2 linked regions of the Oryzias latipes genome follow. The protein of the gene in region 1 interacts with the protein of each later gene in a pairwise test. Links are inferred from orthologs where the notes say so. Each region holds a gene or a part of one and is shown in the gene's direction. Other genes may lie near its edges. The genes, in order: aldh16a1 and dera.

What was found.
Region 2: the proteins of aldh16a1 (region 1) and dera interact in binary tests that used the Homo sapiens proteins (3 or more experiments, as listed by UniProt). The link is inferred for Oryzias latipes from reciprocal best matches to the Homo sapiens genes ALDH16A1 and DERA.

What each region holds. Positions count from the first base shown.
Region 1 is NC_019866.2:23,299,348-23,315,977, forward strand, and holds the start of aldh16a1 (aldehyde dehydrogenase family 16 member A1), read left to right. Parts: upstream 1-5,195; 5' UTR 5,196-5,406; coding exon 5,407-5,496; intron 5,497-7,257; coding exon 7,258-7,357; intron 7,358-7,436; coding exon 7,437-7,563; intron 7,564-7,639; coding exon 7,640-7,797; intron 7,798-7,868; coding exon 7,869-7,946; intron 7,947-8,021; coding exon 8,022-8,209; intron 8,210-8,280; coding exon 8,281-8,439; intron 8,440-8,518; coding exon 8,519-8,677; intron 8,678-10,217; coding exon 10,218-10,374; intron 10,375-11,755; coding exon 11,756-11,831; intron 11,832-12,096; coding exon 12,097-12,202; intron 12,203-13,705; coding exon 13,706-13,827; intron 13,828-13,911; coding exon 13,912-14,085; intron 14,086-16,202; coding exon 16,203-16,407; intron 16,408-16,515; coding exon 16,516-16,630. Other genes in the region: histone acetyltransferase KAT7, read right to left, coding at 1,866-1,922.
Region 2 is NC_019881.2:11,376,872-11,393,501, forward strand, and holds dera (deoxyribose-phosphate aldolase), read left to right. Parts: upstream 1-2,300; 5' UTR 2,301-2,401; coding exon 2,402-2,432; intron 2,433-4,495; coding exon 4,496-4,593; intron 4,594-5,465; coding exon 5,466-5,613; intron 5,614-10,807; coding exon 10,808-10,903; intron 10,904-10,986; coding exon 10,987-11,121; intron 11,122-12,876; coding exon 12,877-13,005; intron 13,006-15,433; coding exon 15,434-15,546; intron 15,547-15,930; coding exon 15,931-16,080; intron 16,081-16,149; coding exon 16,150-16,206; 3' UTR 16,207-16,335; downstream 16,336-16,630. UniProt on the Homo sapiens protein: Catalyzes a reversible aldol reaction between acetaldehyde and D-glyceraldehyde 3-phosphate to generate 2-deoxy-D-ribose 5-phosphate. Participates in stress granule (SG) assembly.

The sequences.
Region 1 (16,630 bases):
CACAAAAAAAAGGGTTTAGCACACATTTGTTAATAAATAAAGCAGAGTACAGGTGCGATGCTTTCAAATCAATCCTTGGATATCCCTCTATAGCATGACCTTCTCATCTTGGGAGCAAAATGTAAATCACCCTATTTTTAGGCAGCTTTGGGTCCCTAATATAATATCACTCCTAAAACTGATCACTCCCCCCAACCAGATTTTGGTTTGTTGCTTCAACCAGACAATCATCAATTGTTTTGTACTTGAATTTTACAAAACAGCAAACATTAGGGACCAAACACACAGCAAATAAATTATGTTAATATTTCATAGAACATCAAAACAATCAAATATATCCAAAATCCTGTATTTATGAAATTTCTTGAGGGTTCATCACCTTAACGCGGTGTGGAATTTCAGGACACAGTTGAAACCGGCGTGTAAAACAGAGGTGTAAATGGCTTTTTATGCTAAAAAAGAAAAAAAAGAAAAATGTATTCGAGAGAAATAATGGCTATATGACCAGTATGCATGCAGGGACACACATTTACTGTTCCAACTGATCCCTGGCTGAACCCTGAGCTCATAACTGTCCCTCAAACCTGATTCATAAATCTCCACTTCCTCCCCGTTTTAATGAAACTTCGCTGTCATCACTTTCTGAGCGAGTCTCCCTCACTAAAAGTTCCAGAGGTCTCCTTCCATAAAAGGGTTTTAGGTCAATTTCCTGTGACGGTGAGTAGATTTTGAAGTTAAAAAACCATCGACTATGATCACACATGCTAATACACTGGGTTACCTGAAACGCACAGCGTTGACTCGAGGCAACAAATGAAAATGAGCCGTTTTACTGTATGAATATTTTTTTTGAAGTAGAAAAAATACTATTAAAGGTACTTCTTCACATCCACATTCACACATTTTTTAAATTACATTTACATCAATATAAACATGTAAAAAAGTTATCTTCAGCTTATTATGATGATGACGTCTCTCTTGTAACTTACAGAAAAGACCCCCTCCATCCATAATAAAAGTCCCCCCACTTTAAACTCATCATTTTATTGAACAGTAAATATATATATATATATATATATATATATATATATATATATATATATATATATATATATATATAGTTTTTTTTAATCAAAATTGGAAATCGTGAGACTTTTGGCAACACTATGCAGTAGAGCCCAGCTACTGTTTTTAATAAAATTGACAACTGAGAAAATATTCTAACCTCTGGAAAACAAGAAGAATGAGGTGTATGTTTAAAAAAAAGAAAAAGTTGCCACAGAACTTTTTATTTTCTCATTTTGGTCACCCCCCCCCCCCCCCCCCCCAACACACACACACACATAAACAGCATAATTAAAAGGTTTTTAATGTCTTAATTTGCGTGATTTCTTTTCAAACGGACTCGCTGCAGCGCTTCAGGTGCACATCTGACAGCCTCAAAACATGAGCTGATGAGCTTCATTTGCATACCGCCAATTAAACTCAAAAAAAGGCGGGATCTCAGGAACCAGCCAATAGGCGCACAGCAGAGTTTGACTTTGACCAATCACAGCGTTGTTTTGGACCAGACAGCCTGTTCCCTTGTTTTAAGACAAGCAACCGTTATCGCAGCTTCCCAACGGTTGCCAGTCTTCCCCCTTATTCTCCCTTTTTCAGTCAAATCTCAAAAAGCAGGGCATTGAAACAGCATCGAACTGAGTTCCACATAAGAAAAAAAAAATACCCGAAAAGCTAAAAAAGAACACACCAGCTAGCGTTCAGTATTTATAATCCCACAGACCATCATTTAAACATCTGCAAACTGAAATGCACAAAGCTAGATGCCCCCCCAGCCCTTGAACACGACAGGCGTGTATTTTTACCTCTGCGCGGCTAACATTAGCTATGACGTGATGCTGTCCCACCTTTCTCCGCGGCATTTTCAACGATGTGGCGTCTCTGTAAGGGCAGCTTATTATCCAGATCTCTGAGGCCGCTTCGTTTACGGTTCCATTTATTTCAGCAACAAGCCGCGGCTGGAAAGGTTTTCCGCTGGTCAATGGAAAGTATAAATGTCTGCACTTCCCTGTGCTCACGGCGCGATCTCCGCTGCCTCTTGATGGTACGCTGTCAAAATAGCTCCGGGTGCACGTGTCCGTCCATTAATTCATTCCCCACCCTTCAATTTAGAAAACATAAAATGTGTCCGGGGTAAATAAAAATACATAAATGAAAAAAAACTGTAATAATTAAGACTTAATATTCCCACAAAACAAGTTAAGAAAACAATACAATTAAATAAAAGTAGGAAAATTACAAAATAGCTTAGACGGACAAAAAATGATTCAGAAATTTTCCCCAAAACACGGGAAGAATCCAACTTTATAGAATTCCCAAGATCCTTAAATGACATTTTCAGAGAATGTAAATAAGCAAGGAGTCAGTAAAGCATAGGTATAAGTGACAAACATGGCTTTAACAGAAGCCAGTAGAGAAGTTGTTTTTGCATCCACTTTGTGTATTTCTGTAAATAATAACATATACAGAAACATATTAAATGATGTATGCATGTAGAAAACTACATATTGTATCTAACATGATACATTAATATGCATTAAATGTCGTTTAAAACATGGCTTTGAGTTTCACCATTACATCTCTTAAAATGTTCTTAGTCCTGTGCACATTGTTGAAGCCCTGATCAAACAAACAAACAAACAAACAAACAAACAAACAAACAAACAAACAAACAAGTAATCCAAAAATTTAAAGAAATTCAAGACTTTTATCTTTAGTCTTTCTTTGTTTGAATAGAACCAACCACACGATGGAAGTCATTGACCTAAAGATATCCTCGGCAGTTTATGAGGGGCGGCACTAGAGGGAGATATGATCACAAAGTCATCAGTTAAGACTAGAGTATCAAAAACTATTCACCTGAATTTAAATTTTATTAAAGGTTTAACAGTGCAGTTGACAAAATGCAACCCTGACATGACCCTCTGACCACAGGTGGAAGAAATATACTTTCTCCACAGGAAGGTTTGAAAAAAAAAGGTGCTCGGCCAGTTCTTAATACCATTGAGCTTGTTCAATATTCTTTAAGTCCTACTGATAGATTTAATCCAATAACTTTGTAAAGAACACTGAAGAAATAAACAAGACATTTTTAAGTACCGGTAATAGGAATTAAAGCAACAGATTCCAACAAAAACAACGATATTTCTGTTATGCAGTTTATAGGATCATTGAACATTTAACCTCATCGCTGCCTCATTGAGTTATATAAGGTGTACTTCCATCTAGTTTTAGCCATTTTTTTAACATCGTGAGTTTTTTCTGGTTCTTCCTCAAGGCTCAAACCATTAGGCACCAGGACAAACACGTAAAATTAGGCCCTGGTTATTATTGATATATTATTGATATATTGATAGAGACATTCAGAGACAGTACTGTAAACTCTATGCTCAGGCAAATATGCTGATGAGAAAATTCAGTGCATGTTCTCTTCAAGTGAAGTGTTCGCTGTTCAGATCTTACTGCACTCCTCTGTATACGGCCCCTCTTTGGTGGAACTATGGACGTGGGACATTCCACAAATTCTTAGTGGCCTATAATGATGCTTTTAGGCTTCTGCTACAGGTGCCCAGGTGGTACAGAGCCAGTCAGCTGTTTGTGGACGCTCACATCCCCACCTGTGAAGCTCTACTGCGTAAGCTTACATACAGCCTCATGGAACGCCTGGACAAATCTAAGAACTCAATTATCATGTCTCTGACTGATCCCAAAAGAAGCTCATGCCGCTACACTTCTGCCCTAAGGAAACACTGGATACAGCGATTATACTCTTTTTAAGTTATATCTTTTTACTTTTTATTATAAATACTGTATTTGTATCTTATGTTTTATTTTATTCTCTTTTCTTCCTATGGACCACCTGAGTCTGAAATAAAAGTTTGATATTATTATTATTTATTTTTTTCTATGTTGAAGGTTTTATACTAACACTATGTCACATTAGCGTTTTCCACAAACACAGAAGGCGCTGACTTTCATGGGCTTGGGCATCTTGGGTTTCTCTGCAGCCTTTTGGTTCCAATTTTAACCGTTGTGTTATCCTAGACACTGTAACATTGGGAGTTGGGTCATCTAGACCCACTAGACAGTGCGCTGAACCTTTTTTCTTCTATGATTTGCAATCTTCACTGGTTTCCATGGATTACATGAAATCCTTTCCACCTTTATCCACCTTTGTCATGGTAGGGAGAACACGTCAATGGTCATCTTGACCCCATAGGATAGCACAAGGGTTAAAGGGTCCCCCCCTGGGGAGATGGAGGAAGTGGCTGGGGAGAGGGAAGTCGGGGCATCTTTGCTTCAACTGCTGCCCACGCGGCCCTGTCCCAGATGGGCGGAGGAGGATGGATAGATACATTTTAACAGTTATGGGTGAAGTTTTCCAAAATTATATTACAAAAAGGCAAAACAAATAAAGTTAAACAAAATTTTAGGTGCAACTAAGGAAGATTGAGCATAACTAAACAGAGCAAAAACAGAAGATGAACACTTCCCTGTTCATACGACACACTCAAAGACTTCATGTTATGAACTGTGACAACTGATCATCATTCTTTTAAACTCATAAAGTCTTTCAAATGAACCAAAAGAAATTACTGATAGAAAATTACATTCAAATAATTAACCGGTGCAATTTAATCGATGCTCCAATTAGAATATGATCTGCCCAAATCTTAAGTTAAATACAAAATATCAGTGATAAAAAATAAAAACTTTGTGTAATTAAAGAGAATAACTTCAAACCAGAAGATACATTTTTTCATAGATCCAGTAGGACTCTATCCAAAAAAGCTTGTACATATTAGTAGCAAGGTTAAAATTATATTTTATTATAATATATTAGGTATATCATATTTGGTAGCTAGTTAGTTAGTTAGTTTATTCAGCAAAATTGGCTGAAATGTTTCACACTGTGGTAAAAAAAAATTTATAACGTGTGTCCTAACATTAATAAGTGTTACTGTTTAAATTATCGACCGGAAGAATATCAACCTTCTTGCGGTGGTCAGTCACTGAATTAAAAACGTCATTTAATAATAAACATAAATAAAAAGTCATTTAAGTGGGTGTTAACCCAACTGCTGGGTGCATCGACAAACGCCATGGTGTCGCACTGCATGAAGCGTGTGAGACGGACCGGAAGTTGGTGGGAGGAGCTTAGAATCTGGCGCAGGGAAGCTAGCATCTTGTAGTCCATGTGACATCTCAGGAGTGCTCCTGCTAAAAAAAATATCTGTATGTCAAACGTGACAACAGTTTTATTTATTGTTGACATTTTTAAAAATCTGAGTAGCACCTCAAACCGGCGAGTTGCCTCGTGCTCCACTCGGACTAGTCCTCTGTAGTATGGCCGGTCCAACCACCGAGACAGTATTCAACATTTTCCGAAGCATGGAGAGCGGACCCGCTGCCCCTTCCTCCGCAGCCACCGCACAGGTAAAGTGTCAAACAACCCGCTAAAGTACGTTTTCCTCCCGGGAGTCTTAAGTTAGACCCGCCTGAACACGCGACGTTTCAGCTGACAGTCACCCACGAGTGGAGCATGTGTTTCAACTTAACGTTACTTCATGTTTTTCTAAAACATTTATTGAGTTTTTAACTTTGAACCCTTTTATTGTCCTTTTATTTTATTTTTTACAACATAGTAAAATAAAGTCACTCTAGTTATTGGTTTGAACTGGAACCTTTTTTGACAGCTTTGGATTGTTGCAGAGATGAGGTTTTAACGTTTATTGCAGACTTGTGTGTTTTTTCTTTCTTTCCTGAAATCGGTATGGAATGATGCATTATGGGTACACACATGTAAGTAATAAGTGCACAAATTTAAATTTATACAATGTGAGGAAAACCCTTTAAACCAAACGGAATCCTTGAAAATCCCTCTGAGATACACTGCTGATGCTTTTTACAGATGTATCTGTACAAATAGTTATCTATACATTACTTTTATATAATAATTGTAACCATGAGTCTGTCGTTTGTATTACGACCAGCATATAAAGTCTCATCAGTTACTATTAAATTCATGTTAGATAAATACAACTGATTGCAGGTTCGTCTTTTTTTACTTGTAGTTTTTCACTGCAAATGTTGAGTTCTGCACTTTGCTCTTCTTGCTTGTAAATTTTTAACAGATTCCACCAAAAAAGCACCAATGCAGGGGGCAGCATCCAGCCCACCAATGAATTTGGGCTCGAGTTTTGATTTATGTCTCCTTTCTATAGTCTTATCAGCCTGTTCATCTGCTCTATGTTACACAATTTGATCCAAAAAATAAAATTAGATCTGTCTTGTTTGCACCTGGTAGAATATCTAATAATAGTTAAAGTTGCACCATTCCTTCATAATAATAGTCTTGAATTCAACACATCAACATGGTTAATTCAGCTGACTCAGATGCGACTGCAAAAACATATTTAATACAGAATGTGGAAGCCACTTTCATTCTAAAGAGTTAGCAGAAATATGAACATATCACATACAGTAAATGTGACCAAACTAATTCAAAGACGTAATTCCATAACATCTCTAACATGAATATTAAATGAACTGACTGTAAAACTATAGTATTGTTAAATGCATCAAACTTTTGATTAAAGGCCCACTCTGATCATCTGATCATCTTTTTAGTGTCGCTTTCCAGGACATAGTTTCTGCAGAGCGGCAGTAGTTGATTAGAAATTTTGAGGGCGGGTCCATTGGTGTGGAGCAACCCCGCCCCCCCATTCCCCTCCCCGTTGCTGTTTTTTTCATCTGCTCCTGATTCACCATGATTTGAGTAAAGAAATACTCAGACATGCAATTTTAAGTTTCTTTTTTTTTATGTAAGTCCTCCATCATGAGACCATTACTAAAAAAATGTTGGTCTTTTAAGTGTTTTTTTCTTCTTATTTTTTTATTTGAGGTTATCTTTTTACGGTGACAAACAAAAAATGCATCGGTTGGTTTGATTTGAAAATTGTGTTTAATTGTATTTAAATGTAATTTTTTCTGTATAATCATAAACATATGGAGTCGTTCTTTTGCGATTTCAATACTAAATGGCTGACTTAGTTTTGAGTGTGATTACAGAGAAACATAATCCTAGATGAGGACAGATATTGGGACAGATTACAGCTCCTCTGAGTTCATGTTTTGGATGAATGAGACAGTAGGAGGGATCCCAACAAGCTTTTGTCCTCTGTACTTCCTGATCAGGCCTGGCTGGATCATCATTCCCGCTCTCTGGGCTTCTTCATTGATGGGAAGTTTGTTCATTTGGCAGAAAGGAGGAGCCTCTCCGTTCTCGACTCTAAAGGTGAGCGCCGACCGATGAACAGAAACCTGTTAGTGGTTTTTTGGCGGCCATAGGAAACTCCTCCTCCTAAACCCACCAGGCGGTCAGGTGTGCGGCGTGCTGTGTGCCGAAGAGGCCGACGTTTCCCAGTGCGCCGCCTCTGCTGTCAGCGCATTCAAGTCCTGGAGCCTCCTGAGCTGCTACCAGAGAGCCAAAGTGCTGCTCAGGTCTGTCCAACGCCGTTCCACGGAGCTGCTCCGTGTGGACCGCTCGTCTCACGACCTTCCTGTCCTCTGCTGTCAGGCTGGTGGGCGTCCTGGGGCTGCACGGTCAGTGCTTGTCGGAGCTGTCCCAGCTCTGTGCGATGGCGTGCTCGCCTCCGTCCCTGATCAGGCTCCTGCAGTTCTACAGCAGCTGGGCTCAGCTCCGGGACACGCTCCTCTCCGGCTGGACGCCTCTTGGTGAGTCTTTGTGGTTTTTTTTTACCGTGGTTTACGGCGCTCTGACACACCTTCGTTGTCGTCTTTTCCAGGTGTGGTGGCCGTTGTCACCTCTGATGACTCTTCTGTCTACTCTCTGATGCTGAAAGTCGTACCAGCGCTCGCCATGGGTGAGTCCCAGGCGCCTACATGCCCCGCTCCCTTCGCCTTCGGCGTTACAGACTCCTGCTCTCTCTCATTTCCAGGTAACGCTGTGATTGTTGTTCCTGGGCGGAGCGTTGCCCCTCCAGCTCTCCTCTTGGCGCAGCTTTTCTCAGGGGCGGGACTTCCTGCTGGGGTTCTCAACGTTCTAACAGGAAGTGACGTCACGCTCGGCGTCAACGTGGCCCAGAATCCCAGCATCTGCTACGTCACTTACAGCGGCAGCAAGCCAGTGTGTGACATTTCAAAGCCGGGGGGTAATGGAGCTGACTTTACAGTCTAACGGGTGTTTCTGTGCTCCAGGACGGGCTGGCGCTGGTTCAGGCTTCAGCAGGGATGGGGGTTCCCGTCTCCGTGTCCCCCTGCGTTGGGGCCACGTGTCCCTTCATCATCTTTGAGTCGGCGGACATAAACAGCGCTGTGGACGAAGTGATAGAGGCAGCCTTTAAGAAGAAGAGTGAGGTGATGCAGCAAAGGATGGGATGTTCGCCTGATTCCAGCTGCAGTCTGCTCCAGAGTCCTCTCTGCGCTCTTCCCTCAGGTGCACTGGGTGTTGTGCGTGCAGGAGAGCGTGTGCGACAACGTTGTGGATCGTCTGAAGCTGCGCTTGGCCGGGTTAAAGTGCGTTTCCCTTCAAAGTGAGGCTGACCGCAGCCTGGTGGACACCGCAGTGCAGGAAGCTCAACAGCAGGGGGCGACGGTGAGTCAGGAACCTTTAGACATGTCCGAGGTGCGGCCCAAGCATTGGTGCTGTCCGGATTCCCACCCTAACCCCTAACTACTAAAAAACTATATAGTGTGGGACTATGTAGTGCACTGAATTTGAAAAAGCAATGATCAATACCTTTTTAACGGTGGATATGACGTCATCAATTTCACGAAGTTAAAATCTAATTAATATGAGCGTTTTATGATGATTATTTATGAGTCCACTGTCTTCTGAAGATAAAAACGTTGATGTTTTATTTAAAAAAAAAATACATTTAAATGCATTTTTTGGGCAAAACTTGTTCAGACGCAATGCATTGTGGTCTAAATTCACCGATCTAGTGAGCATTGATGCACACTGGTTTTTGGCAGAGACTTCTGGGAAATTTCTAGGGCATACGATTTTGGAATTGTAGATTCGCACAGAACTGCAGAACGGCAAACGCGCTACATAGTGCACTATGTGGTGAGCAGGGAATGAATTTGGACACAAGCATGGACTGTATAAAGGAACTGGAGTGAGTGAGTGAGTGTGGCGCTATCAATGGGAAATGATTTACTTCCAGCTCGGTTCATTCTGCATTTTTTCATGATACTGATGCCGCCGTGTTGGAGCCAGACGTCGTCAGTAATTGATCTGAATCGGTCTGTGTCACCGTTTCTATGGCAACCATTCTCGACAAACAGGAGGGAGCTTGTTGGAAGTCCACAACCCTACCAATGAAAGCTCGGGAGAATCTGATAATCAAACGTTTCGAACGTCATACGTGAGACCACTTACTTTTACTGAGGCATCTGATCTGCTAGTTTATAATTTGAATAACTTGTGTTACTGATTTTTTTTATATATTCATATAATCAAGAACATGTAAATAAAAGGTATCAGATCTACTTATTCTGACCAATAGAATGGATGAGCAATTGCTGTTTATTTCTCTATAGAAGTCTATGGGGTTCTGGTTTCTTGGAACCAGCAGGTACTTCCTGTTGGGAACGCCAAACAGGAGGAGGGGCCACTCAGTCCAGTTCTCATGTACCGTCTACATGCCCACATGTGGGCAATGATTAACTTAAATCTACCCTGGACCTGTATTCTTTTACTGTAGTTGCACCAGCTCAGTGGCCTTGTGGTAGGGTGTCCAACCTGTGACTGGAAGGTCGTGAGTTCAAATCCAGGCCAAGGACTCATACCCAAGACTCTAAAAATGGGACCCAATGCCTCCCTGGTTGGCACTCAGCATTGAGAGGTTGGATTTGGGGGGGTTAATAATCCAGATCTGCAGCTCACCGGTCAATTTGGAAAAATAACATTCATGTTAAGTAGAAAAAAGTAAAAAATTGTTATAGTTCTCCATTTCCCCCAAGATGTTCAGTTAATGAAAATTATAGAACTGCGGTTGAAAACCGGGCTCTCAAGCGTTCACCCTGCCAGATCTGACTGTCTTTGGACCCCCCCTATTGCTTTAAACTCTGTTTATACAAATCAGCAACGTTTAATGATTGTATTGACTTCTTTTGTTGTTTCTTTGTAGTTAATCCAGTCGTGCTCCGCCCCCCCGTCGGGGCCTCTGTATCCTCCCACGGTGCTGTGCGGGGCGGCCCCCGCCTCGCCGTGTGTAGTCAGCCCGGCCCCTGGACCTCTGCTGCCGCTCATGACCTTCAGATGTCACAAAGAGGCAGTAGCTGTGGGTAAGGACGCCGCACCGCCGCCACCGCCGCCACCGCCGCTCTGGACTTTGCTCCAAACGTTACATAAAACAGAACCGCAGAATTGCAGCTTCTCAGAAATGTGTGCCGGTTTTGACAGATTCAGAAATCAGTGTAGATACTTTTAATCTAATAATAAATGCTGTAAAAATATATTAAACATGTTAATTACCCCAAATTTCAAGGTTAGTATTTAGTTCTTCATATATGTGGTATATTTCAAAGTAATTATACAGCATTCTTTTCATTTTTAAGTCTATTTCTCTTCAGTTTGTTTGAGTTTTTTCCATCTAGATTTCTCCTTTTATCTTTTTGTGTAAGCACAAATCGATTGAAAAGATGTTTTTTAATTCCTTTTTCCCCCCCATTATTTTTCCTTACTGTGGTTCAACCTGTAAAGTTTTACTGTATATGTACTTACATATTAGGATTTGTGAGTAAATTTTCCCCAAAAAATCTATTTGTGGTTCAAAAAATCTGAACCTCTTAGCCAGTGCTGTGTTTTTTTTTTGTTTTTTTCAAAATAGTTTTTATTGGATTTTAGTGCAGCAATATTGAATAATAAGTGATACGGAACAATGTATGCATTTTCCCCTCCTTTTCCCACACATTGAAACAAAAAAAGGGAAGGAACCCCAAACAAAAGGGCGGTACACATCCAGCCAGTGCAGTGTTTTTAAACCAGTGAAAGATGGTCATTGCTTGGATATCAGCTCTGAGTTCATCCAACCAGAACCAAGTTTTACTCTGAGTAATGAATACAGAATAAAGAGTTTTTTTTAGTACACTTTTGGTTTGTGTTCTTCTTTTTTAAATCAAGTGAAAAATACACTTGGGCTCAAAAACTGTTTAGAAACAGTTTAAAAACACTGAGCTACTGTAACGATTTAATGATTGACCTGTAGGGGGCAGTATATGTCCTGGAGTCATTATTCATTTTTTAAAGGGCCCTGTATCATGCTTTGAAGCTTTTCAGATATTGGGCCTAAAAAAGGAAAGCGTTTAGCTGATCACCGCTAGCTCGACGGAGAAAGTGGGTGTGTGTGTTAGCCTGGGGGCGGGGCTAGCCGCGCAGACTCTTCCTGGAAGGGGCGGGTACTCACTTTATGACATCACAATGTTTTCATGGATTGGGAGGGGCTGGTGCTCAAAGGATGGATCAAAATACCACTTTGGGGTCGGGGAAGGGACATGATAATACTCTATAGAGTTGATTTAGCACGATATCGGCCCTTTCCAAGTACAGTTTTACGCTGAGTTTTAAAGGCGGCGATCCAAAGTCGTGCAGCCTGACTTCTGTTTGGCTTAAATTGAAAAGGCAGAACAGGCTGTGGGTTTACCTGTGGACCTCTGTGGTGTTTAGGGAACCACAGTCCTCACGGCCTGGCAGCTTCCATCTGGACTGAAGACCTGACTCTGGCTCTGGAGACCGCCAAGAAGTAAACGCTAAACCCTGATTCCTTTCCCTCTTTTCTTCATTTTGTGTCCAACTGTCCCTTTTTCTGCTTCATAATTTATAAACGTTCTTTTCTGTTTCTCGCTCTCGCTTTTTACTTGGATGTTGTCTGAAAGGTTGTTCTCAGCTCCCATAATTCAGCTCTGCAAGGAGCCTGAAAGAGGCTGACTCAGAAACCTGCAGGGCGGAGCTGGGAAGTGTGTGTGTGTTAGCTGCCACGCTCTTCACACCTTTGCTGTCCTCCTCAGTCTGTCGGTGGGCTCGGTGTGGGTGAATTCCCACTCGGTGGTGGATCCGTGTCTGCCCGTCTGCGCTCACAAAGACGGCGGCAGCTGCACAGACGGAGGACAGGAGGTGAGCCGCGGTGGACGGATCGGAGCTCTGACGTGAGCTAAGCCCACGTTCAGAGTTGAACTGTTGTTGAAAAGCAGAGGAGATGCATGAAATGAGACTGAAGATGTGCTTTTGAGTCTTTAAAGACGCACTCCCATCATCTTTTGAGCTCTTCCAAAACTCTCCCAGTGGTTTTTAATTATGAGTCTACCGTTTTTAGCCAAAATCCAAAAACATGTGTCGTTTTCCATGGCATAGTTTCTGCACAGCTCACGTTGGTTATAAACTCATGTCTGAGTTTGGGCGGGACTGTTGACCCCCTTCCTCTTCCTGTTGCTGAGAGCCCTTTGTTTACATGCTGTCTCGCTAACATACAGCTAGGGCTGCAGCTATCGATTCTTTTTGTAATCGATTAATCTAGCACTTAATCGATCGATTAAGCGAGTAATCGGATAAAACGACTTGTGTGTGTTTTTGAACGACCAAAACAAATAATGCATAACAAAAATGATGTGGTTGTAAAATGAACAAGCATTTGATTTTAAAGATCCGCTTTGATGCAAATGTTACTTTGGTGTTTTTAAGTTGGTCTTGAGAAGTGGCGGAGCTAGAACATTTTGTATGGGGGGCAGAAGACTTTGAAAGGGTGGCACAACACCAAAATGGAAGGCCATTAAAAATAAAAGAATCAGAAAAACATATTTGATCATTATCATTGTTTATATTTTGTGTAAAAATAATGCTTTTGTTATTTTTGCAATGCTTAAAGAAGCCTCGCGGTCCGCTGACAGGCGAGCTACCGCCTGTCCCAGCCCCTGCCTCTCGGCGCCCCCTCCATGCTCTTAGCTGAGTGTCCCGCGGGGTCCGAAGCGTTTACTTTGAAAAAATTAGAGTATTCAAAGCAGGCCCGGTCGCCTGAATACCGCAGCTAGGGGCCCTCGCCGCCCGCCGATGCGGCCCGCGCTGGTCGCCGCGGAGCGGCTGACACCGCCCCTCGCTCGCTGCCGGAGCCACGCGCCGGTCCCGCGCCTAAGGCGTCGGGGTTCCAGCGGTCACGCAGATGTCTTCTGTTCAGATGCTGAATCATGGAAGATGTGCTGTTGTGGTATGCCAGCTCTATTTTGCAGTAGAGACACTGCACCTTGTTCTCTTCTTTATGAAGTGTGTAATGATCCCACACTTAAGACAATTTCTGCCGTTAATTTATAGATCTATTCTCTGCCATCGCGCCAACTAAATTTAAAAGGTCCGTGTGAATAAACGGTCCGTGTGACTCAATCAAATCCCTGCGCCGCGCGTATAGTGCGCGTCATAGGAATTTAACGAGGCTTCGAGGCAGAGTTTTTGCCTCGAGGAATTTTTGTAATCGAGTAACTCGAGGAATCGTTTCAGCCCTACATACAGCCCTGCACAGCCCTAAGCTACTCAAACTCTGTTTACTTCAACAGTAAGATCTCTGTAGAAAACACAGTCGTCTGCTTTCTGCTGGATCCTGTTTGATTCACATCATGTCTTTTCCGTCAGGGTCTGTACCAGTTCCTGCGTCCGTCCGTCTCCTCTCTTCCTATTCGTTCATCCGCGGTCCCCTTGGATTACTCAAAGTTTGGGACAGAAGAGTCACCAGCAGTCATTCCTGACCCGGCCAGGTAAAAGCTTCTTACTAATCAGTCTGTTCATCCTACAACAGCCCAGGGACAAGTTGAAATGACTCTGCTTTGTGTTTGTCTTAGCTCTCCTCCGTCCTACCTGCAGTTTGTTGGGGGCAAAGCCTGTAAATCAGTGTCTGGCTGCAGTGTTGCTGTGCAATCACCAGGGGGCGGCGGCGGCGTGCTGGGGCTCTGTCCAGAGGGAGGCCGGAAAGATGTCCGAAACGCCGTGGAGGCAGCGCTCAAAGTCCAGCCCGGGTGAGAGAAACCTCCCAGCAGGACGATCTACCGTGATCCTGCTCTGAGGACAGGGCTGCTACATTCATTATTCTGTAAAGATGATCTGCATTTAAACCTAAATATGATCCAATTAAATTTAAACAGTTTCCTAAAAGTTTCAGTGCTGAAGATCTGAACGTCTAAAAACGTCTGAATTGTTCTGAGTTGTTCTGCGTTTCTGGTCGATGTCCTCAAAGGCTAACATGAAGAGTCCTGCCATCGGTCTTCCAGAAAAGTCCTACAGAAGTTGCCGAGATTAACACCTTTTTCTTGTGTCAGCGGTTTTCCCTCAAAGCCACGCCCCTGTTTGTTTTTAGCTGAATTTGCACTTTCAAATGTCGGATTTTATTTGTAGAAGTGTTGAAGTCTTTGCTGCTCTGTTTCTCAGAGTGGGTCCTCCATGCTGCCTGTTAACTGTTTTCTGAGTGTTGGTGGATCAGCTGAACCAGGTGTGCTCAGGCAGGTGAGCGCTGAGCTCAGCAAACACCAGCCTAACCTTTGACCCTGGACGGTCCAACCATATCACTGTAGATAAGTGGTTTGGTAACGTTTAATCCCGACTGATTTGGTATTTCTCACGTCGGTTTGTATGAAAAAATTCAAAATTATCTTTAAAAAAACAAAACAAAAAAAAACTTAAAATGAACCTTAATACGGCCAAGTTTAAAGACATCTGAAGCAACCTGAGGTTTCCATGGAAACGTGTCCTTCTCAGAGCTTTAGAACAGAACAAACAGTCCTTCGATCCTCTGATGGTTCTCAGGTTTAAACCTATAAATGTCACTCATTTCTAAATAAATCAACTCAGAAGTGACACCGTTTTAGCTTTTCCCAGGCTTTGGAGTTTCTTAGAAAATATCTGTTGTTTTCGAATGTTTTTTTTTTGGATCTTGTGCCAAAGTCCTGTTCAGAGGGGAGGGTTATGCCGAGTTCTTTCTCAGCTACGCAGTAAATTATTGATGTGACCTGATAAAGTTCTGTTCCTGGGACGGTCCCTCATGTAGCAAAGCAGCTTTATGTGTTTTATTTGTGTACAAAGACAATTCAAAGGTCTTTACACCAAACTAGAAACATTTGACAGAAATATTAAAGGAGTGATGATAAAAATAAAGTTAAAAAAAACTGGATTGAATCAAATGCAGCTGGAGAACAGGTGGTTTTTTATCCTGGATTTAAATAAACTGTTTCTGCTCATCTGAAGCTTCCTGGAAGTCTGTTCCAGATCTGTAGAGCATAGAAACTGAACGCAGCTTCTCCGTGTTTGGTTTGACTCTAGGAACAGACAGCAGACCGGATCCAGATGAGCACAGACATTTGGCCGATACAGACTGGGTCAGGTGGTCAGTCTTGTATTTTGGTGCTAAACCATTCAAAGGTTTATAAACCAGCAACAGAACTTTAACGTCTCTCCTCTGGCAGACATGCAGACCGTGTCAAGACCTCAGAACCAGACTGATGTGGTTCTACTTTTTTGGTCCATATGAGAACACGAGCAGCAGAGTTCTGAATTTTTATTGACCTGTAAAAACACTGTTTAGTTCCCCCCCCCCCCCCCCCACAATGTGTCAAAAGTAACAAATCCCCTGTCTCTGATGTGTTTACGGAGAGCCATGCGTCGCTATGGTAACCAATGACGCTGTTCTTAGCATGTAGTTGTTGAATAGAAGTAGCCTAAGGAGGGAGCCTTGGGGAACTCCAAATGTAATTTATGTTGGGTCAGGTGTGAAATTACCAATCGACACAAAATTCTTCCTGTTTGCCATGTGGAACTCGAGTTCCACACGCTTTAAACATCCGTTCAAATTTCCGACAGTTTAAAAGATCTGTATCCTTATAGATGGTTTTTGGATGGTCCTGCTGTGTTTGGGCATTTCTCCTGTTTGGTAACGGTGACCTCTGACAGCTGGTCGGTCAGGCGGTGGTTGCACACAGTGAGACATCGCTGTGGGTCAGACCGCCACGTTTGCACATCACTTCAGCTGAGGGTGGAGCGTCAGTTTTGACTCACCTGTTCTTTCATAACCTGAACAAAATCCAGGTGGATTCCTCACGCCTGGAGGGAAAACATTTGTCTGAACATTCCACTCTCCCTCCAGCTGGCAGAAGAAGACTCCTTCTGCACGTGCGCTGTCGCTGCACGCTCTGGTGAAGGGCGTGGAGGCAAAGAGGCAAGATCTCGCAACATCACTACACACCCAGACTGGTGTGTCCATGGACGAGGCTGAAAAGGAGGTGGAGCTAAGCATCACCAGGCTCGCTCTGTGGGCGGCTTACTGTGACAAAGTGCAAGGAGGATCTCTGGTGAGGAATCGTGAAGGTGGTCTCAGCTGACTGTCAGGTGGGACCATAAAATCATCTCAGTGTTCCCTCTCCATGGGTCCTTATTTCCCTCGCCGTCCTCTTTTTCAGCCCATGCCAAAATCGGGCTCCGCCCTCTCCTTCCCAGAAGCCCTGGGGGTTGTTGGGGTTGTCCTGCCCGATGAAAGCCCCCTCCTCTCTATGGTGACGCTTCTTGGAGCAGCGA
Region 2 (16,630 bases), on another chromosome or scaffold:
TCTTTTTTTTAATCTAAGATTTCACAAGTTTTTGCAGTTGTTTATTGTGTTACTTTCTTCTCTCCTTTAAAATGTGCTTGCTGTCTTATCTTAGGTGGAAACAAGATGGAACAGCACATTTAATATGTTGGAAAGGCTGTTTAAGGAGAGAGAGCCACTGGGGGCAGCTCTGGCCACCCTCCATACGGACCTTCCTCCACTCACCTAAGAGGACTACCAGGCCATACACCACTGCTTGAGCGTTCTTTCACCGTTTCAAGAGGTCACAGTTGAGCTTTCGACAGAAAAACGAGTGTCAGCATCCAAAGTCATTCCCATGGACAAAATGCTGAAACATTACATCTCAAGCAGGTGTGGTCAGATCACACACCCACTTGGTGAAAAACTGGCCACTAACTTGAAGAACCATGAGAGGTTTTCAGCTCTGGAGAAGGTCACTGCTCTGTCAATGGCAACCTTGTTGGACCCAAGGTTTAAAGAGCTGGGGTTCTGCAGCCAAGGCTCTGCCCACACGGCCATAGAGCGACTCACTAAAGAGTGTGCTGCAACAATGCAGGCGCTACTTCCAGAGGCACAGCCACAGTCGCCACCTAGAGAAGGTCCTTCAAGTCAGCAGGAAGATGGTGGCCTCTGGGCCCTGCTGGACAGGCATGTGGGGGTTCAACAGCAGGTGATCAGCACAACTGCCAGTGCAACAGTGGAGGTTCAGAGGTACAGTAAAGATTAGAATCCTCATCATAACTTCTGCTCATTTTTAACTGGTGTATGACAATAGGCTATTAATTTACTTCTAGGTACTTAAAGGAACCCCACATCTCAAGGACTGAGGACCCACTGAGATACTGGGTTACCCACAAGGTTTTATACCCACATCTCTAAGCTGGCAATGAAGTTTTTATGCACACCAGCTTCATCTGTGCCTTGTGAGAGGATCTTCTCCAAGGCTGGCGAAATCGTCAGCCAAAGACGAAACAGGCTGAAGCCCAGCACAGTGGAGAAAATTCTGTTTTTAAATAAAAATCTATAACATGTATCCCACCCAGTCATGTTAGACCCTGGTTCACAATCACTCATTCTCACTTTATACATGGCATTCACAATGTAACACAAGCACTTCTCACAAATCTTCAAACATTGTCTTTGTTTTATTTCCACACTGAAGTGTTGCAAGGGCAAGGAACTTAGTGGAGTAGATGATATACGTCCTGTCTCCCATCAGATGCCGCTGTTCTGTGTGGTTTCAAAGCCCCGAATGCTTCATTCATTTTTCTGGCACATTTACACGAAGCCCCATGAGAGCTTCATGGGGCTTCGATTCCCATCCCTAGCCTTTACCTTTACGATGTTTGTCTATAACATTATTTCTAATGTCCTGGGACAATTCTCTCCTTTGCTTGCTGTTGTCCATGTTCAGTGTGGAACACACCTTTTCACCAAACAGCAACGTGACTATTTGTCTCCCTTTAAATAGGCAGACTGACCTATTATAGGTTTGAAAACAGCTGTGATGTCAATTAAAGGACATACCTGAGTTCATCATGGCCCCCTGGGCATTTAGTTCTCAGTCTTTTATTTCTGTCCAGCCCTATTTCATTAGTTTGTTTTTTTAAATAATTCTATTAATCAACAACTCAAAAGTAATGGCTGATTTAATTTTAAATTTTAACTTGTTACTTTTGAACCTTTCAATTCATTTCAGTGAGCATTGGGGACTTTCTTTCTTTAACTGAGGGGTAGCAACAGTTTTGTCCACCACTGTAGAAAACGCTGATAAAGGCAAAGCAGATATTGGCAAAGCAGATGTAGGCAGGCGCAGGCAAAGCAGAAATCATAATAGACAAATATGTCATAAATAGACTATTCTATAGTTAGCTAATTTTTTGAACGTATGATTTAAGTTTATTTTTACATAGTTTCAATTATCTTGTTCTTAACTCACTTTAAAGTCATTTATACATTACCAGTAGTGACAAAACATACATTACCTGAAAATCTGCACCTTCCAGTGGTGAAAGAAAAACATTACATCAAATTCCGTAATACAGTAATAAACAAGCTAAGTCTCTTGACAGCCGTCATTTTTGATTTCCTGATATAATTGTTTAAATTTGGGTTTGATCACCTTTTCTGATGAATGTGAAATTTACTCAAAATAAAATCAGTAGAGTCGTGAAACCAAAATAGTTTTCTTTGCTTTATGTTAAAATAATAATTATTTTTGTGAATTAAACAGTTTTAACCCAAAATCTGTATCTTTTTTTTTTTTTTTTAATTACACCCCTCCCCGTCCGGCTCCACGTCCTACGTCACAGATCCGGAAGTAGCGCTTTGACAGCCCCGTGCTGTCCACGTGACTCGCTCAGTTAGTTGGCCGTGAGGGTCGGAGTTGAGTTTCTTGGTCATGTCGTCTAGGAATCCCGGAACAGCCTTCGGTAAGTGGCGCGTTTGTGGCGCACGGTTCCGGTTCCGTGCAGCTCTGCTCCAGTCGCCATGACAGGCGGAGCTGCGGTGCGCGGGCTTTGCGGGGCTGACAGGCGTCGTTGCATCCTTTGGAAAAAAGAAGAGAGCCGCTGAGGTTTAATGAGTAACTAACAAGGTTGACTGACCAGCAGGTTAAGTCAGTTTAATGTTTACGGTGTTCTGATGTATCATGGTCCTGCTGGAAGATCCAGACACGTTTCCTCCTCAATGTTCCACCATAGATCCATTCATCCTTTCCTTCATACAGATCAGTGATTCTTGCATAAAAACAGACCCAAACCATGATTTTCTCTCCCCCGTGCTTCACAGTGGGTTTAGTGCCTTTTTGTTGGCAATAACTCGGCATTCATCCTCTAAACATGGCAGGTGGTGTTTGTGATCTCATCTGATCAGAAGATGGTCACCAAATCCTCCTCTGATCGTTGAGATGGTCTCTGAAGAACTTTAGACTGGTCTGGACATGTGCTGCCTTTTGGAGTAGCCAAGACAACGTTGTGTGTTACCATAGTAACCTTTGTCACTGTGCTCCCAACCCTCTTCAGGTCTTTCACCAGTTTCCCTGTGTAGTTCTAGGCCGTTCTCCAGATCATTTTCTAAAAATTGCTCATGAAGCAGTTTGCTTATTGCAGATCGGTTCATTCCAGCCTTGTTCAGGTCTGTTATCTAGTCTCTGGTGTCCTTAGACAGCTCTTTGGTCTTTGTCCTGATTGAGACACTCAGGTAGCATCTGAAACATAAAGAATTTATGGATCATATGCATCATATACTGCTCTCTGCTCTTCATCAGTGACATTTTTTACAGTGTCTATCTTACTAAACCCAGACTGGACTGTCTTAACTTTGTTTGATTGAGCACCATCTGAGGAGAGAAGCAGTTGATGTTTGTTCCAGACATGAGAACTTGTTATCCTATGGTGTCTGGTGTTCGCTCAAAGCTTAGCATTGGGTGTGTTTCATTTTTCTTTTGGCTCCAGGAATGCTGTAAATACGTTTAAATTAACAGGAAATGTCTTTGATTGGTTTGACCTGACTTTGGTCACACTGTGAGTCACAAGACCTGAAGGAAGCAGAGATGGTTCATGTTGGTGGAAATGTCTGGGACACTGAAGGATGAACCTGACAATGTGTGTCTGTTAATCCCTGTATCGTACAAAACCCTTTTGAGTTAAATAAAGTTAGTTTTTTTACAGTTTTGGTTATTGACTGTGTATGAGGACTGGACTGAGTGACCCCTCCCCCTGACTTTCCAAACAGGAAATACCTGCTGGCTGCAAGAAGCCAAAATCCCAGAGACTTTTACTAATCAGATGCCTCAGTAATAGCGTGTGCAATCAAACGTTTGACAGATTTAGTGGTAGGGGTGTCAACTTCCAACAAGCGCACTCCTGATTGGTGAGTTTGGTTGCCATAGAAACAATGACTCAGACTGTCTCAAACCAATCACTGTGTACTGATGTTGTCTGGTTCCAACATGGCGATGCGTGTATCATAAAAAAAAAGGCAACTGAATTGACTTTGTTTAGTTGGAGCCAGAAGTAAACCATATTTTTATGGGTGACTGAAATCAATCAGTCCAGTTCTTATATACAGTCAATGGTTTTGGTCAATGAACCAAAACATTTGTTTTGTTTATTATTTCATGTATTCATTGACACCAAAATCTGGTTTGAGTAAAATGACGTTTTTTTTTTTAGACAAACCTTTTTCCCGCCTTTTTTCTATAATTCATCAATTCATCTTTCATTCATTGGCGGATGATCAACCAATGAGAATAGAGCATACTGCCATCTGCTGTATGGAGGAACATCTGCATTATGTGCTGGACTGTTGTGGTTAGTGTGAAGCTGGACAGGCAGAAATGAGACTCGGAGAACGATTATGATCTATCATGAATAGAATGGAATAAAATAGAATAGAAGCTTTAGTAATCCCAAAGTAAAATGAAAAGCAGCCAGCTGCTTGCATTGATCCATCTTCTTGTCTTTCTTGTTTGTTTTCTCCTCCCTGGAACCAGACCTGGAATGGGTCTCCAGAGTGCGGGTGAACACACAGGCGGTCCTGAAGAGGGCTCAGAGCATTCAAGGACAGAAGCTTCCTAAGAAACAGTGGCAGGTGAGTCTGCACACCTCCAAAGCTTTACTCCTAACACGTTACATTTATCTCTCCTGTCTTTGCTGTTTTCTGCTTTTTTGATCAAAAATGAGCTTGAATATGTGTCGTTTTCTCTCTGGCATGAGCTCCGGCCTGCCTGCCCACGGTGGGGTCTGGTGTGGTCACCACAGAGGGGGGGCTGCTGGACTTTCCAGTTAGCATGTGGCAGAAAATGAATGGCTGCTTGGAAAGAAGGCCAAATTACCCCAGGTTCACCTCCACTATCAGCTTTAGCGGAAAGCAGAGAGGAAGAATCTGCTTCCTGAGCAGAAACAGGAAGTTGGTTCGGTCTAAGAGGAGCCTGACGGCTGAAGGCTCTGAAACCTCCTAAACGGCTAATCAAGCAGACTGAGAACAAAATGCTCAGCTGGGTAAATATATGGGATCTTTGAGATATTTATGAAGTCTCTCAAGTTCTGAAATCTACTCTATTTTGAACAAACAGGACAAAATGAGAGAACTTCAAATGTGTTAAATATGACCTTCTACCCATTTTCAATAAACTCTGGCAGCAGCATTTTGGAGAACAGCCTGAAAGTAAAGAATCACAGCCGTTTAATCCTAAAGTAACAAATGCATGAGGTCATTTTTCTGCATCACTTTGAGACAGGGCGTTCGGATTTTAGAAATATTTCCAATCCGAAAGGAGAAAGTTCTAGAAACTTGATTTAAGTGAGGGTCAAGTCTTTAAGGTTCCTCACAGTCGCACTGGAGACCAAATGAGATCCATCCAGAACAATTTCACTTCTTTACTTTCCCTTTATGTGTGTTTATGCCGGGAGAAGATGGAAGAACCAACACTTTGTGCTCTGTTTTTAATGCTTTGCTGACAGTCTGCCTGGCTGCTGAAGGCCGTTACCTGCATTGATCTGACCACCTTGTCTGGAGATGACACGCCCTCCAACGTCCATCGACTCTGCATGAAAGCCATCCAGCCAGTGAGACACGACCTGCTCAGGAAGATGGACATGCATGATAAAGGTCATTTTTTTATCCTTGTTATTACCACCACAATGCTAAACAATTCAGCCATGATAATAATTAGCTTGTCGGGTAAATGCTGAGGCAACTTTGAATTGACTAAAGTCCAACTCTGATGAAAATTATGATTTTGGTGATGATGATGATGGACATGTAGAAAGAAAATTAAGATCAAAATTGCATTTCTGAGTTTTTCTTTATTCAAATCATTGAGAATCGGAAACAGACGAAAAAAAATGCTTTTGTAGTTGTTACATGGGAACTATTATGGGCTGCCACAAGCTCCCTGCTCCGCTCTATTCTGTCAGACAGATCCATGAATGTCTCTGTTTTCCTCATCTGAACTGGAATCTGGATCTGAAGTGTTGCTCTGTGCTAACAGTACCGCCCACAACTCAGAGGTGAATTTCTGAGGAGCTCCTGCCGCTCTGCGGAAACTATTTCCTAGAAAAGGACACAGGTTTTTGGATTTGACCGAAAACAACATCATAATAATGAAAAGACCACTGGAAACACTTTGAAAATAGATCAATAACTGACTTGACGTCATTGACTTTAACTTATTTCTGTACCTGACCTGTTCCTTAAGCAGTGATGAAAGTCTTCCGGGAATTCCCGGAAATCCGGGTTTTTGAGCAAACCGAACGTACTTTCCGGGAAATAAAGACCTGATCTCTACGGACAAATCGCTTTCCGGATTAAAAAATGGTCTGAAATCAGCTAATTTTAGCTTTATTTTCTATATTTCTCCGCAGATCGCTTCCTCTATGGTCGTGGCCATCTCTCCGTCTTCCCGGCCTAATTGACCAATGACGGGACGTTTTAGTTGCTTTCGGATGCGTCGACGGGTCTGATTGGCTCTGTCTGCACCACGTGGTCAGCGTGACTCGCTTCCCTAGAGACCAAAACTGGCGGACCCACGCTAAACTTTCACAAACACATCTGAAGAGTTTGCGATCAAATTTGTGTTAAAATAATGGCAGGCATCGTCATTATTGAGCGTGGTCACGACCTCAGTTGTGAGAAGACGATAAAAAACAAATTGAAGTGGTCTTGGCTGGAAAAAAAAGATTTTTAAGGTAGTGTAGGTCAAATACTATTTTGTGTAAAATAATCTCAAAACCACATTTTGAAATAATTTCAATTTTAGTTTTGAGTTTCAGTTTTTATTTTGAATACATTTCTCTATCTAATTTATTTGTATTTCCTAATTACCATGATTTAGTTCAGTATAGTTGACATTAATTATAAGTATTTGATGGTTTGGACCCGCACTCCCTTAAAAAATAATGTTTACAATGTTTAGTTTAGTTTGTATTGTAGCGTCCCACTGACGCAATAATGAAGCTGAGGCGACCGTTTCTAACCGTGAGGCTTTTTAATGACTTAGGAACAGTTACTGTCGGCCGTAACCACGCCAAATACAGCACAACGATAATGAGAACTTTCCATCAACGCGTCCATCCTCCCCCACCCCCTCATGCACCCACGACCCCTCTTTTATTGTCTGCTCCTCCGCCCATTCTCCCGCTCATCCAATCACACTGGAGCAACGATGTAACACAGAACACATTAACAGAGCCCCAACAACGTTAGTCGCTACACTATGTTTGTTTTGATATTTCCCAGATTACTTAGTATTGGTGTTAAAGAATTGATGTATTATGTTATAGAATTATAGTTTAAAGCAGATCCCATATTTTGATGTAATTATAGTTTGAGAAAACAGTGCAAGTGGATGTTGTACATCAGTCATTTCTAAAGCAGAAATAATGTATAAATAACTGAGGTATTTTCATAGAATATCATAGTTACTGGTGTTCTTTTTGCCATTTGGGGCTTTGATGTTACTATATTTTAGCAATTGTATGTTTTGCAGCTTTAAGGAAAAGCGTAGATTGTAGGATTGTGTTACTTTGAGCAATTTTCCAAATTCTTTTTTAGGACCAGCAAGTCCTTAATGGAGAGTCAAACTAGGGGTTTGAATGACAAATCATGATGCTCCAATTAGTCTTAGTTTCTTGATAACTAGTTGCCAGAATGCACCAGAATGCATCTAAGACCACGTATTTTTCCAAAATTTCGCATTGTGCCCGCCATATCGCTCAAAGAAAAGTTCAGGGATTTTTTGCTTGCCTGACTTTCATCACTGCTTAAGGTGTTCCCTTGTGGTTTTGCCGCCACCAGATACAAACCTGTTTTTACGACTGAGTCTATGGTCCATGGTTTGTGTTGTCACTTCCTGTCACTGTGTGACAGAGCTGAGTTAGACATAAGCCATGTCCTTTACAGACTCTTTTCATACCTATGATGACAGGTGTGTTTGATGGTCGTCTCCTGCTCATTTGTGCTCAGTTATCAACCAGACACATGTCCTTTTAAGACCCGCTCCGATCGTCTTCTGATCTATTTACAAAGCGTTCCCAGTGGTCTTTTCATCACAATTTCGCCATTTTTAGCTAAAATCATTTTCTAGGACATAGTTTCTGCAGAGCGGCAGGAGTTCATTAGATCCCAGAGTTGTGGGCGGGATTGTTGTTCCGGGACAACCCCGCTCCCTCTCCCCTCCCCACTGCTGAGAGCTCTTCGTTTACACTCTCTTCCACTAGCTTACAGCCTCTCACAACCCCAAGCTAACATTAGCAGGGCAACAAAAATGGTGAGTAAAATCCAGCCGTACAGTTTAGATCCTGATTTCAGCTTAGACGAGTAAAACAAAGACGTTCATGGATCCATTTGTCTGCAGGTGGAGGCATCAGAATGGGGCGGAGCAGGAAGGTTGTTTCCCCACCCAGTATATTTTCTACGTCACTAATACGATCTTTTTTAATTTTTAACTGCATTTTTTTCTGCTCCTGAATCACCACAATCTGAAGAATACTTAGAAATGCATTTTTTTAAACTGAATTTACTTCCTATATGTCCATCAACAGAAAAATGTCACAAGACCATGTTTAAAAACAGCAAAAGCGGGAGTGGATCTTTAAGAAAACAACTCCCTTCAAGAAGCCCCGTGGACTGTTGCTGTAGTTCAGTGTTTTTCATCCAGTTTTTACATTTTCCCTTGATAATTCACCAGATTGAGCTCATCTGCTCTGTAAAGACCTGAAAATAAGACAGTTATTAAATCAGGTGTGATAGACGAGTTCAAAGGTCAAACAATCAGAGCAGCAGTGATTAAAGTTCTGCTGGGGACTAATGGCCTCCTAATCAGGTGCTGCTGTTTTGGTCTCACCCTTTAGCAATGAAACTTAGAGATCCAGTTCTTGAAGACAGTACATACACTGAAGTCAGAGCTGCTTTGAGGAAAAATGATTTTAGCGTCTGTTCTGATGAGGAAATTTAATGTTTAAACATTTGTAAATCTGACTGATCAGTGGAAGCGTTTAGTCCGGGGGTCGGCAACCCGCGGCTCTTTAGCGCAGCCCTGGTGGCTCCCTGGAGCATTTTCAAAAATGTTTTAAAATGTGTTTTGTTTTAATATGGTTTCTGTAGGAGGAAAAACAAGACATAAGTAGTCTTTATTTTTTCCATTGTAAGAGCTTGCAGAATTGATAATGCAATGTCCAGCAGGTAAGTCACATACAGCTGGAAAACAAGCCAATCTGGCTACAAGTTGAAGTGTCAATCAACTGTCTGCGCTGGAAACAAGTCGCACGACTCCACAGAGACTCAGAGAGGAGGGAGTAGAGAGGTTAGCCGAGAGTATACTCACTTTTCCTGCATTACTTATCCCAATCTGTTTGACACGCATTACGTTGAACATTGCACTGTAGTGATCGACCTCTCTCCCTTCCACACTCATGGTCCAACAAAAAGAAACAAACATAACAGGAAGAATAAACTAAGGTGGAACAACAAAACTCCCATATTAAAAGAAACGTGGGCAAACAGAAACGCTCATGCTGAGCCCTAATTAGATCAGGAAACTGCGTCCCAAAATCCCTCGCTGCTAACAGACCTAAAATGCACATGACCGCCACTAGCCCCGCCTTCACCCCCTAAGGCTCATGGGAAGTGGGAGTTATAGGGTAAAACCTTGAGTAAGAGTGTTGTGAACTGAAGTCAGGTCCATGCTGTTTGAGCTGATTGTGAGCACTGGAACAAGTGGTCTTGATGCAGAGAAGTAGAATTTGCCTGTCCTGCTAGCCATATGTCATTGAGACTGTGCTGGGTTGTGAGTTGTTTAAGGCATGGACAGTTCTCTTTAAAAGTTTCTTGGTAACCAGTTTAGCTGCTGCTACGCAGCTCAGGTGACAGTCCGGCTGGGTCATTACATTATAAGGCTTCAGCATTTCTGTCAACAGAGATGTGCGTCATAGCTTACGACACACGTTGCTACCAGTGGGGCTTTTTTTTAACTTTCAGCGGACCGCTAAACAGCTGGCTGATGTAAATGGAACTGCCGTCAGTTCCGTGCATTGCTTGATGAAGTTGAAAACGAAGTCCGATGGCTCTCCGGGGTGACGCTTTTTGTCACTTTGTCGTCTGTTTAGAACATGTGAAAACATTCCTGAAAAGCAAAGACCTGAACTACCCGCACTTGGAAGATGCTGGGTGGCTGGAAAAGCTGCACTTTTTGGTGGATGTGACTGACAGGCCATCTAAACGAGCTAAATGAAAGTCTCCAGGCGCCGCAAATGCTTGAAGCGTCGTCATGCACGTTCCATTTTATTGTTTTGTCTTCGAATCCTCAAACTAAAAATGAGATCAAAAATCAGATTTCTTTATTAAATTTCTTTAATTTTATCAAAGCAATGAAACATAATTCATTAATATTGTAATGAAGTTAAACTTGCACAACAGAGCAGTCACGTGACGCGTTGCTCTCCGCAGAATGCACTGCAGGGCAAATAAACATTTAATCGTTAATAATGCTCATTATGTGTTTCAAGCAACTTAGTCATTTTGATAGTAGGCTAAAATATCTAATATAGACACATATTGCACTTGTTGCCTTCATTATAAGGCTTAAATAGGGCTTTTAATATTTTTCGGCTCCAAACATATTTGTTTTTTTCGTCCAATTTGGCTCTTTCAACATTTTGGGTTGCCGACCCCTGGTTTAGTCTATAAAACACAAAGAAAAGGACATTTCAATTGTACTGAATAACAACAGCTTGGGAGCAGTACCGCCTCTAACCAGCAGAGGGAGACACAGACTGGTTCATGTCCATCCCTTATCTTGTTACAGGAATCTCTACAGCTGCAGTGTGCGTCTATCCTTCTCGTGTTGCTGATGCCGTCAGGTCATTGAAAGCAGCAAACTCCAGCATTCCTGTTGCCTCAGGTACGACAACACCTGGAACAACTGTCGACCAACACAAACTGCAGTGTGTGTTTGTGCGTCACCCCGTGCTCTGTGCTCATCAGTGGCGACCGGCTTCCCGGCCGGACAGACGCCGCTGGAGAGCCGCCTGCAGGAAGTCCGCTCTGCGGTGAACGACGGAGCCACAGAGATCGACATTGTCATCAACCGGATGCTGGCTCTCACAGGGCAGTGGGAAGGTAAGACGGGAAGAAGATTCTTGATTGATGCCTTTAGCTTTTTCAGATCAGATTTCAGATTCAACAGAAAAATTCCAGGAAATTCCTGTTTCTTTTCTGCTTTTCAAAACCCTAGAATGTAAACGACTGATGGATTTGCTGATTCTTTTAAGCTTCATTAGCCATTCATTGTTATAATCCTATTCCAATGAGGCCAGATTGTCTTAATTCTGTCAAAGTCACCCGCCATTTTCATTGAGAGTTTTTTGGGGAAACGGTTGTACTGAGAAAGCTAAAGGAGACAGTGGAAGAAAGTCCCTCTAAATGGAACATTGGAAGGAACCTGCAGTAGAACTCGACTCAGTCAGAGGAACCATCTGCTGAGACCGGTTAGTTCAAGTGGACAGAATCAGACAATACTGACCATGGTGGTGGAACATCCTTAACAGCTGTGGTCTCCAACCTTGTAGGCAACCCACTAGTTTTCACAAATATTTTCACAAACCAGCCTATGTCTAAGTCGGCGTCTGATTTTTATTTTAGCTGCCAGTTTTCCTTAACTTTTGAGGGTAAAGTTAATCTTCACCCTTTCTAAAATACTGGCAGCTGTTTTAAAATCTATTTATACACCAGATTTAGTATAGGAACCATTAAAATCTGATCTAGAATTTAACCCTTTAACCCATTCCCGTCAAAGTGGAAGTTAAAAAATCAGACGCCAACTTCAGCCTTGTCTGACCTTTAAGGTGCGACGGATACAAAAAAAAAGATCAATTAAGTTGGTATTTTCTAAAATAAACATGAATCCACCAGTTGAAGGACTTTATTAGCAGCATCCTCGTAACATTACATAACCATTTGCTAATTATTTTGCATTATTATTGTGGTCTGTCACAATAAATCCATATTAGGAATAAAGACTCCTGGTTTTTGTCTGTTAAATGCAGCTTTCTTTTATTTTGATACTGAAGGCTCTTTTCTGCTAAAAGAAACTCTCCAAGTATTTTCATTTTTTGTCAACTTTGTTAGTTTCAAGGCTTTAACATGGTGATCGGCGCAGCCGCTTTAGAAAAACAGCAGATTGATTTACGTCACGTGACCGAGCGACGCGCCAAAAAAGAGTCGGGTGTGGTGGAGAACATCCAGCAGTTTTCCAAAATAAAAGTTCTTTTAGAATCAGATTATAAAGAGAGTAGAAATATTATGGGGTGTGTTTTTTTCTTTACTCTGAGCTATGTGCTGTTTTTATAGGACATGGTAAAAATAAAAGTCATAAACCAGATGAGGACCAAGTCACTAAACTTCTGCTGTAGGACAAAAGAAAGATGCTGATGAGCATCAGAAAATACTGGAACATCTGTTAGAAGACGAGCCACACAGGCTGAACTTCAGACCAAAAAAAAAAAAAAAGCAGAAAAAAGGACCAAAGCCCAGAAAACTGGGAGGTGATGATGTGTCTGATGAGATATTGTGGGACCAGCTTGATTAAAGGAAGACGTTCCATCTGTAGGAGGTTGTCCAGGAAGCACAGAGGAACAAAAGAAAATGAAGGTCTTCCAGGCTGCAAGTTTTTTTAAATGTGCAAAGTTTGAAACGCATTTCATCATTTGCATTGAAGTGATCTTTCTAATGCTGACAGTGTGAGCCCGTCCTGCATCTCTCACAGGTGTGTTCATTCAGTTCAGCAGGAGTGGACATGAATATGTAAAGTGCAGGTTTGGTTCTGACCCGAGAGTCTTGTTTTGATGGTGAGTTTCAGTTCTGGTTGTCTTCCAGCCATGTTCAATGAGATCCGGCTGTTCCGAGAGGCCTGTGGCGACGCCCACATGAAGACCATCCTGGCTGTCGGCGAGCTGGAAACCCTCAGCAACGTCTACAAGGCCAGCATGGTGGCCATGATGGCGGGTCAGTGTCACGGCGCCACACAAACACAACTCCGCTCTTCATTACCGCTTCATGTCAGAGCGTTCTGTAAACCTTTTTTAATCAGACATGGATTATCTCATGTCAGTTTAGGTATAAAGAAAGGGGCGTGGCCAAATAATCACAGCTTTGTGTAAAGGTTTGGGTTTACTGTAAACTCACTGAGATGAAGCTGATCTGAGCAAATGTGAAGGAAGATAAGAGAAAACCCTAAAATCCTTTGGTAGGCTGTGAACAGGAAAGAAGACTTAAATGAAGTATTTGTAATTGTCAGTGTAAATCTGTGCAGTAGGGTTTGATGTCTGAACTCCTAGGCTACGTTTACATCGCTCTTGATAACCACAGTAAGCCACCTGTTTTTTTATTAAAGGTTTATGTAAACGGGCCTTCGTGTTTGAAACTCATGCTTTTATGTGTCGCTATGCAAGTTTCTACGACCGTTTTTGGACTCTACATACAAAGTGCGCAGCCATTCAACATGCTGAAAGTTAAACCAGTTTAAACTTTGACCAGACAGAGACTTGGATTTGGTAATACCAACTCTACCAACGGTTTGAAAATTGATCATGAAGGAGAAAGGAATAATTGCGGTTTGTGCCTGGCTGGAATTCTAAGACACCAAGTCTTTCATTTATCGGAATAAAGAAAGAAAAAGAGCTGTGACAGAAAAAGCCTGGAGCCAGATTTGCCAGATTATCATGCGCTTTTACCGTGTTCTTGAACACGCATCACATGTCTGGTGTGAAGGTAGCATCACAGAACACAACACTTGAGAAGGGCTTTTAGAGGTTTCCCAATTATCTTTAATGTGACTGAAATGAAAAAAAAAACTAAAGAAGAAGCTGGAACCTCCTGGAGGAGCTGAACCTCCTCCAAACAGATCAGTTCTAACGGCTGATAGTGAGAGGGAGAGGAGAGGAGCTGAAGATCGTCCAGAAGGTTTGGAGGAAGACCTCTGAGCCTGAAGGTCGCCACGATCCTCCATCATGTCCGACCTCTGCATAAACTCCATCCTCTTTTCAGATGTTTCAGCTTTTGTTCCCCCGGGCAACAGCTGCTTAAACACACCGAGAAGCAGCTTAACTGTCCATCCCATAATAAGCCGCTCCAAACAACTCTGTTAGAGATGATTATTAAAAAGATTTTCTAGTCTTTATGTAAATCTGTGAGTTTTTATGGATCACACACGAGTTTCTGAAACTGAACGTTGGCGATCAATCTGTGAAGGAGGCTATTTTCCTCGACCCCCTCCAAAATGGATGGAGCTTCACTACTGCCCCCCACATTTAATAACCCTTATTCATTATCTGCTAATTAAGACTCCTCAGAACGAATCTGTGGGATCATGGCGGTTGGAGGAAGAGGAGGCCTAAAACGGTCTGGAAGAAGGTGGTTTTAATGAAGCAGGAAATGTTCTGGAGTTCTGTCGGCTAATGAGCCGTCATTCCTCGCAGAATCCTTCTTTCTGCTCCGCCCTCCATCTTCTATTTTTACTCGCCGCTGATAAACCGGCTGAGCACAAAGAAGAGAAATGAGCGTTCAGGCAGTTCCATATGTTCATGTCTGACCCGGGCAAAGGCTGGAGCCCCGCCCTCACTAAAGGAGGGGACCTGTCCCATGACCAACCAGCTATTGAACCTGGTCTTATCTTTCTGAATAGAGTTTCAGCGAGTGTGATGTCATCCTTAAAATATGGTTTACTTCCGGCTCAGATGAAAAAAAGTTGACTCCGTTGATGTTTTTTTCACAAAATGGAAAAATGTCCAGGAGGGAACAAGTCCTAACTTTGTGACGTCAGAATGTGAGGACCCACAATGTAAGGACTCACTCATTTTGGTGGATTGGGAGGGGCTGGTGCTCAGAGAGCAGGTTTTTAGAGGAATACTGTGTGAATGGATCAAAATACCGCTTTGGGGTTGTTGACACTCAAAAGCTCAAAAAGTGGATTTTTTTCATGATAAAGGCTCTTTAAATGTTCACCGTTTTATATGTAAATGATGTGAACATGAAAAAGATATTTATTTTAGTCAGGAATACCAAACGCTGGTTTTGATCAGAGAAACAAATCTGTTCATTTTGTTTACAGTGGACATTTTAGAAAAAGGAAAAAAGTGTCACAGAAAGGTGCAGTGACAGGGTTGCCACAGGTTTACAACGAATTAGACTCAACTTTAGTCTCTAAAAGTCAAACTCTGCTTTTAGAAAGTGCTGAGGCTGCATATTGTTGATTTCATGTCAGGAGACTGAACTTGAATTGTGGCTACATTTGGCCCTCGGGCCGGACTTTGGACATGCCTGTCTTATACAGTCAATGCGTAATGGTGTGAGTGGAACCATCGATGCCTTGTCTTTCATGTTTACGTTTATGAGTTATGAAAGAAACCTGGTTTCTTCTTCTTCCAACGCTCAGGCTCCGACTTCATCAAGACGTCCACGGGAAAGGAGGCGGTCAACGCCACGTACCCCGTTGCCATAGTGATGCTGAGAGCCATCCGAGATTACTTCCTGTGCACAGGACACAAGGTAAAGTAATTGTTCACAAATTGTTTCAGTTTAACGCTTTTCTTAATTTATATTCTTTTTTATGAAATAATTTGATCTTCATATGAAAAACTGTCAGCAAAAGCCTTTCCTTGCATCTGGAGCATCAGAGTAAAGCTGTAGGACTCTGGAGGAGGAGCGGTCTTTATATAAACCTTCTGAAGATGATCCACAGTGAGCAAAGGAACTTCAGTCCGGACAGACTTAGAAATGTTTTCCTTGGGTTGGACTGGATGGTCTTCCTCAGCCACTTTCTGAGTGTTTTGCAGCGTTCTGAACCCTAACAGAGGCAGAGAGCGCTGAAATGTTTGGACCGGACTCTTCTGCACCTCCAGCTGTGATAGGCTGCGGCCTGTGTTCCTGCAGGTGGGCTTTAAGCCGGCGGGGGGCATCCGCACTGCTCAGGAGTCTCTGGTCTGGCTGACTCTCATCAAAGAGGAGCTGGGCTCCGAGTGGCTCCACCCCCACTTGTTCCGGCTTGGAGCCAGCAGCTTATTGGCTGACATCGAGAGGCAGGTGAGGAAACAGTCCCGGCCTGCAGCGCACCGGTTGGTGGCTTCACCTAACCGTCTGCCTCGTTCACAGATCTACCATGAGGTGACCGGACAATACGCCGCCCATCATGAGCTGCCGATGGCCTGAAGCCACGCCCCCTCCAGACTCCTCTGTAAAGAAAGGAAAAAAATGAAGATGTTGCTCAGTCTGCTTTGACTTTTCTGTCTTCCACGCCACCGTTTAAAATATTAAATGGAATTTTTCACCATTCAGAAACTGTCTGCATCGTTTCTAAACGCTGTCTGCTGTTTTTCTAAGGAGTCATTTTTTTGCATTTATCCCAAAACGTAACACTCAGTGTTTTAAGTGTAAAACTTTATAAATATTTGTATTCTCAAAAATTATTTTTCACTTGACACAGAAAAATGCACTTGAAACTCAAAAACACGAGCAAACAAAACAATTTTCACTTGAGAATTTCTCTCTCTTCTTCACTTAAAAAAAGAGTGGAGCATCACGTTACACATGTGCCACAAAATCACAGGTATGGACATAAAGGTTGCTGCTGATT